2 linked regions of the Tribolium castaneum genome follow. The main gene of each other region encodes a partner of the protein of the gene in region 2 in a complex. Links are inferred from orthologs where the notes say so. Each region holds a gene or a part of one and is shown on either strand. Other genes may lie near its edges.

Evidence for each region. The genes of interacting proteins can lie anywhere in the genome.
Region 1: the proteins of Cbp80 (region 2) and Ars2 are in contact, whole or in part, in a cryo-EM structure (PDB 8PMP), measured with the Homo sapiens proteins. The link is inferred for Tribolium castaneum from reciprocal best matches to the Homo sapiens genes NCBP1 and SRRT. Residues at the interface, in NP_002477.1 of Homo sapiens: Tyr461, Gln463, Lys511, Lys557, Ser558, Ser560, His561, Ser564, Ala567, Lys568, His570, Lys607, Ile609, Arg610, Thr611, Gln612, Met648, His651, Glu705; in NP_056992.4 of Homo sapiens: Asp857, Pro858, Arg859, Val862, Glu863, Tyr864, Arg865, Asp866, Leu867, Asp868, Ala869, Asp872, Asp874, Phe875, Phe876.

Annotation. Positions count from the first base shown.
Region 1 is NC_087394.1:28,905,694-28,909,024, forward strand, and holds the end of Ars2 (serrate RNA effector molecule homolog), read right to left. Parts: intron 3,020-3,331; coding exon 1,812-3,019; intron 1,422-1,811; coding exon 1,208-1,421; intron 1,162-1,207; coding exon 900-1,161; intron 851-899; coding exon 772-850; 3' UTR 653-771; downstream 1-652. Other genes in the region: pickpocket protein 28, read right to left, coding at 29-211, 262-275. UniProt on the Homo sapiens protein: Acts as a mediator between the cap-binding complex (CBC) and the primary microRNAs (miRNAs) processing machinery during cell proliferation.
Region 2 is NC_087397.1:5,581,204-5,584,530, reverse strand, and holds part of Cbp80 (nuclear cap-binding protein subunit 1), read right to left. Parts: coding exon of another isoform or gene 2,375-3,327; intron 2,305-2,374; coding exon of another isoform or gene 2,269-2,304; exon of another isoform or gene 2,155-2,268; intron 839-2,154; coding exon 600-838; intron 552-599; coding exon 3-551; intron 1-2. Other genes in the region: mucin-2-like, read left to right, coding at 2,269-2,304, 2,375-3,327. UniProt on the Homo sapiens protein: Component of the cap-binding complex (CBC), which binds cotranscriptionally to the 5'-cap of pre-mRNAs and is involved in various processes such as pre-mRNA splicing, translation regulation, nonsense-mediated mRNA decay, RNA-mediated gene silencing (RNAi) by microRNAs (miRNAs) and mRNA export.

The DNA.
Region 1 (3,331 bases), on a different chromosome or scaffold from region 2:
CAAATTAAATTAGTTAAATGGGGAATACTTTTCAATCCAGGTCCGGTACTCGCCGAAGTAACGTATTCCGTGTATGGTTCCATTATTGCAAAATTCCACAACGTAATTAAGCAGATTTTGACCGCAATTGTAGCTGCTTTTGCCGTTTTCATTTTTTCCGCAATTTTCTTTGTCGGTTAATTCGAGATCACCCCGTTCACTGCCACACATGCTTAAAAAGCGTCAAAATTTTCAATAGTGTTAACTAAGGGTAATTTTTACCTCATGATCGTCATTATAAAATGCAGATTATCTACTAAAACAAGTCTAGGATGCAAACTTGATGATTTAATAGAGTCCTTGAACTTATGACTTTCTGTTTTTGGCCAATTTTTTGCTGCCGGAGGCTTTTGGCAAAATATTTATAATTACTAGTTTCAACGTAAAAACTGACTCGTCTTTCCTTGTTAGTGATAATTAAAAAAATTAATTTGAGTGCCAAAAATCAGGATTTTAAATGATTTTTTCGTGTACTATTTTTTTTAATATTTACCTCGTTACTGCAAATATCCTTGTGAATAATAAATTATAAAATGGTCCGTAAATGATACTTTTCAAAACGTCAGAAAATCTTGTTTAGGGACTTGGGGAATAAAAAATTGAAAGAAACCCATAAAAATACGAACAGTTTATTGATTGAATGACGGTACCTTTACAAACTTATTATCAAAATAAAATGTTGTTTGAAATATTCTTTCTTAGTCCTCTAACTTACAAGCATAAATTAAAGATTTAAATAAACTCTTCTGGCTCCCTTGGAGCATCGAGGTCCCGGTAGTGAATAACCGGCCTATAATCCCCAGGACCACCCCTTTAATAAAGAATAATAAAAAAAGCAATCTAAATTCTGTAAAACTTACCTTGATCTTGGTGTATAACCCCTAGAACGTTGCGAATACCCTTGATTGTAATATGGGGGTAACCTACCATACCCACCATAGGAACCTCCATACGACGGGTGGTTGTAAGAGGGCGGTTCCTCACGTTTTGGCTGGGGGGCTTCCGCCAACATTGGTCTTTTAGGGTCCCGTAAATAGTTATTGAAAAATTCGACTTCCTTCTTCACCTCTTCAATTTTTTCAGCATGCTTGTTGAAGATGTGCTTACGGACGAAGTCAGGACCTACGATCCAAAGTCAGAAATAAAGCGAGTTTTTTTTCCAACTCACCCTTGAATTTTTTGCCGGACAATGGACACAACCACTTGTCCTTGGCCAACTCTCTTGTATTCGCTTGAACGAACTTGTCAATTTCGGTATCAACGTCTTTTAGAGACAGGTTGATTAGTTTCGTTTCGTTTTTGTTCTCGTCGCGGGGTTTTTCGGGAAGAAAACTAGTCATTTTGGCCTCGACTGGAGCCCCAATAAATTGGGTCATATCAGTCTATGAAAAAACAAAACAATTAAAGGGATTTTCTTAATTTTGGAATGATTGCATTAAAAGAGGAGTTGTTCAAACGATAATAACTGACCAATGAGTGCAAAAATTTCTGGCTACTATAAATTTTCTACACTGATCCCTAATAATAACAATTGTACAAAAAAAATCGTTGACAAATTCAAGATTTCGTTTAAACAGCTTCCTTTTTTGTGCCCCAGAACAAAAATGTACTTAAATTTTTTTGAAAATGGGCTTCCGCAGATTAATCTATTCTGGTGCAAGTTAGTGTTAATTCCTATCTTTGGTAATTAAAAAACCGTGTAAAATTTTCAATTAGTGGTTTTGTGACAAACACATTTATTCTGGGGTAGAGTTATCAAAGCGCAATCATACTTTGGTGGTAGGTGGCGGCCCCCTGGCGTGCAGAATCCCGCACCTATTTGGCATCTCATCCTCATTGGGATACTCGCAGTGATTGTAATAATCAACCGAGTGAACAACACGCAAATACAGAATAATCCGGTCCAAGACTGAAATAAGTTGTTCGTCTCTTTCAACAGTAGTGGCCGAATCTTGCGTCTCCGCCGTTGGCTCCAGCCCCAGAAGTTCCTCCTCCTCGGCACTCGCCTCCTCGATCAGATAGTCGGTAATATTGTGCAGAACAGGATTATTCGACACCAGCCCGAACGTCTGTTGGGGCTTATCTTTCTTCTCATCGTCCAACCAAAGCCCAACTTTATTATCGAGATGCAGCGCAACTTTCGCCGATATTCGAATATCGGACCGGACGACTTGTTTATGGGCCGTAATGCCGTTAACAGGCCGAATCCTCCGACTCAAATCCCGATTAACGATCGCCCCCAATTCGCAGTCCCTCAGTCTAATATTATTCAAATTCCAACAGATCTCCTTAATATTCGCGTCTCGTTTAAACGTGACCCAACCGCGCCTCAACCACCGCCGCTCCGGCTGAGGGTCGGCCAAAGCCACGCGCAGAAAACCCTCATAGCGGCCGCAAACCGCCTCCACTTCTTGTTTCGTAATAGTCGGCGCTAAATTACGCAGAAAAATTGACGTGGTTTTGTGCAGCGATTTGGGTTTTTCCGGTTTGTCGTCTTCGACGGTTTCAATGTGCTCTTTGACTTCTTCTTTCGGTTTGTCTTTTTCGGTTTCTTCGTCCTCCTCTTCCTTCTTCTCTTTTTTCTCTTTCTCGTCTTCGCTGTCGCTGCTGCTACTCGACGAGCCGCTGCTGCTTCCCGAATAGGAACGCTTGCGTTTCTTGTCTTTAGGTTCTTTCTTCACTTCTTCGCCTTCTTCTGGTTCGTTTTCTTTCGCCGGCTCGGGGTTTTCAGACTCTTTCTTCTCTTCTTCTACCACCTCCATTTTTTCAGGCTCTTTGTTTTCTTCAGGAGCTGGTTTTTCCTCCTCTTCCTTCTTCTCTTGTTCTATTTCACCGTCTTCTGCAGTCGTTTCGCCGTTTTCTTTTGCTTCAGGTTCATCAGGCTTTGGCTTTTCCGCAGGTTGTTCTTTCTTGGGAGTGTCATCGTTTGGTTTTTCGACGACTTCTTCTTTACCCTTTTCTTTGTTTTTCTCTTCCAATTCTGTTGATACATTTTAATGCAATAATGCTGCCACGAATTACTAGCCTTAACAACTAAATGTTCAGACAATTACAGTAAAGATAAAAAACCAATACTGGAGATGTAAAATCTTACGAAATACAAAGCTGAGCACCAATTTTGTGCATCTTTAGGTAAAGAAAAGCCCTTACTTATGAAAAAAAAAAAAAAAAAATACAGACTGCTACAAATTCAATCAAAAATAAAATGTTCAAAGTAAAATAAATAGTCAAATTTCGACGTCTTTATAAAAGATTATAGAAAGTCATTCATTTAAAAGAGGTGTTTAATTAT
Region 2 (3,327 bases):
ACCGCTAGAAACACTTGTTGGAGCCTCCCAATTGTCCACTTGTACCAATGGGTGTTATAGTCGCGCCCATCCGTGTCACACCTGACCAAATGTTCAGACAGTATCATTATAAACCTCTGGAAAATAATCAGGAACAAGTTTTTCTGATCGGCTTGTGCCGCTTCCAACTTCTCTTCCATCCTTTCAACATACTCTTCAGTTGGTTTCTCGTTATCAGATTGCTTCTTCTTCGAATCCTCATCTTCAGACTCACTTTCGCTGCTTTCAGCCCGTGCTAGTTTCTCTCTAGCTTCAGCTAGTTCACCCCCTAGCTTAATCACGTGTCTGTTCATTTTTTTAATAGTCAGATGTAAAATTTCCCACAAGTACATTTTGGTGAATTCGGCCGTCATCTCTTTGGAAAAAATCCAATTAGCGACCGCTGAACACTCGACAATTTGAATTTTCAACATTTTGTCAACTAAAACGACCATCATTTGTTGGTGGTGGTGCCACAATTCGAACATGTTTCGTAAAACGCAAATTTGAGCTTCCTCCGACTCTGCTAAAATCTATCAAAAAAAAAGTGATTTAAGACACAAATGTTCAAGCCTGAGTACCTTAAAAACGTAAAGAAACTTGGAAATCGCTGCAAAACTGTGCGAGAAGCTCTTCGACCCTAAGTTGAGTAGAGTTTGCACAAAAACGTCGATTTTGAGAGGATTAAATCTGCTATCAGTCTCTTCTTCTGAACGGGGGTTTGGGAGGTCCTTAAGCACCCCTAGGACCTCCTCGGGGGTGCACTTCTGACGTATTGACACCACCAATTGATGGGCAGCCGTAGTACCCGGAAGTGACGCTAAAACACGATTTGTTATGCATGACAAAAAATTTCATAATTTTGGTTTCGCCACGACGGAAGCTGGATTTTTTCACAACTCCTCATAATCCTCCGTTCCACTTTAAATAAATGAATTATTCAAAAAAACAATCCGTTTAATACAACAAAATTGTTTTCCGCAAACCGAAACGGAAAAGAAAAATTAATAATAGCGGAAGACCACCGACCAGAAAATCCAATATTGTTGCAAGTAATCATAACGGAAACGTTCGTTTTTTCTCGAACGCATATAATCGTATCCCTTTCTTACGCAAGCTGCAATGTATAGCTATTTTCTCGTGTTAATTGGTCAAATTCACGCACGTTTTACTTTCGGACTTTTTCCTTTAAATTACAAGAATCACTTCATACCGTGACCATTATGTCAAATTTGCTCATTGTGATGATTGTTTCAAACAATTGTAATCTTCATCGTGTAACATGCACTTTCGTTATTGTTTTTCGTTTCGAAATCTCCAAGCGTAAAGATGCGACTTTGCGATATCGCCGCTGACTTAAAATCGGTTCTTTTCAGAGCAATTAAGTTCAAGGTGAAACTGAAGATTCGTGAGCAAAATTACGAATTAAAAGAAAAAAATAAGAACGATCGTAAACATCTCTGGTTTCATAACGCGGAGATTAAATCAAAGGTAATGAATTTGTGCAATAAAAATGAAAATATTCTACCTCAAGTACTGAATTTTACGCAAATAGGGTCTTAGGTAACACCACAAGGTTTCAATTAGCCACGCTTTTCGGTGAAAATAAAATTTCTCTATTTTCCTTCGAGTAACATAAAGAAAAAAAATGTTTTTGCAGAAATTAAATCAACAAAAATCCACCATCAAAGAAGAAGGTAAAAAATAAATTAAATTAAAAGTGCGAGTCCATTATTTATCGTAATGAAAATGCAATTATCAAGATGTTGCGACAATACAAATTCATCATAGAATTGCCAATAAAACCTTGCTAATAAATTTTTAATTAAAAAATCTCACTTCGGACAATACTTTTTCCGAAGGTTTAATTTTAACAAACCCATCACTCTTAATAAAAATTTCAAAACTTCATTGTTAATGAGAGTCATTTTAGTTAATTACTGTCGTGCCAAATTAACTTGTCCGAAAATAATAATTCGGGTTTTTTCTTAAAACCCCGAGATAATTATCTTGGCATGTGTCTAAATTAAGTAATATAATATGCACATTGCACACACAAGAAAAAAATAATTAATATTCATCAGTGCGCAGAAAAGTAGACAATGTATTAGCAATTATGTCGAAAGCTTCTAGGATCATCGGTGGGGTACTCTTCAATCTCTCTAAGTAAAAAGATTTAGTTGTAAGAAACCGAGCGAACTAGTGACATGTGCAGCTTTCAAACATTTGCAAACACCCAGTGGGTCTAAAATGGGACACTTCGAAATAATCTTCATTTTACTCTTGGTAATTTTACCACGACTAACAATCCCATTCAAGTCCAAGGTTATTAAAAAATGAAAACTCTCATTTTCAGACTCTCCAACTATGGGAAACTGTATCAATCACTCGACCCGTGCGAAACTTTCATCCTCCCACCGACTGGGAATTGGGGCTGCGTGAGTCCGTGCATCAGGCCCTCCTCCGGGAACACTACACCGACCCGGGGCTCCGCGACCGCCTCCTGGCAGCCCCTTTTATCAACCGACAGGACGACGCAAGTCCTTTCGGAGACATCGCCGTTCTGGCACGAGGACAACTCTACATAACCCCTGAAGGTTTCAAATTTGTTCAAGACGTGGACTGTGATTGTCAAAGATGCCTCACGTCGCCCCAATGCCAGTGGAAAACCTTCGGTCACCATAAACTACTCGCACTGTGGACGGTGAAGCGGATAAGACATCGGGACCCCCATTATGGGCACGTGTACGAAATCGAGTACACGATTTCGCCCATCACGCACACCATCAGCGAGGATTTGGTCAAAAGACATGGGTTTTTTAACTATAACGTCCCGGGACACATTTTCGTGATTAAGAGCGATCCGGGTGTGAACACAGTTGGACAAAAAGAGTGGTTCAAGAAAGAGGAAGATCATGGACACTACAAACCCGGAATTTTAATACAAATGACCCCGGATGGGTACAAACACGTGTTGCACAGTTTTCCCGGATTTTTCACTTCATACCACGACCAAACAACAATCGATCCAAAAGAATACGAACTGTACAAAAAATTGATCGAGTCATTGGCGGCGAAAACATCAAGTGGGCCTCACCGATTCTCAGTTACGACTCCTACGACTACGACTTTTGTCGTAAGTGAAGGACAATTAATCCCGATTACGACTTTACCGACCCAAAGTTATACAAAGTCGCCGAAACCCATCACAACCATTCATTATTACACTCCGGTTGAGACAACAACGGAAAAACAAGACGAGAGTTTTGATATTTTTTCGGAGGCGTTACGCACAACTACTACGAAAAA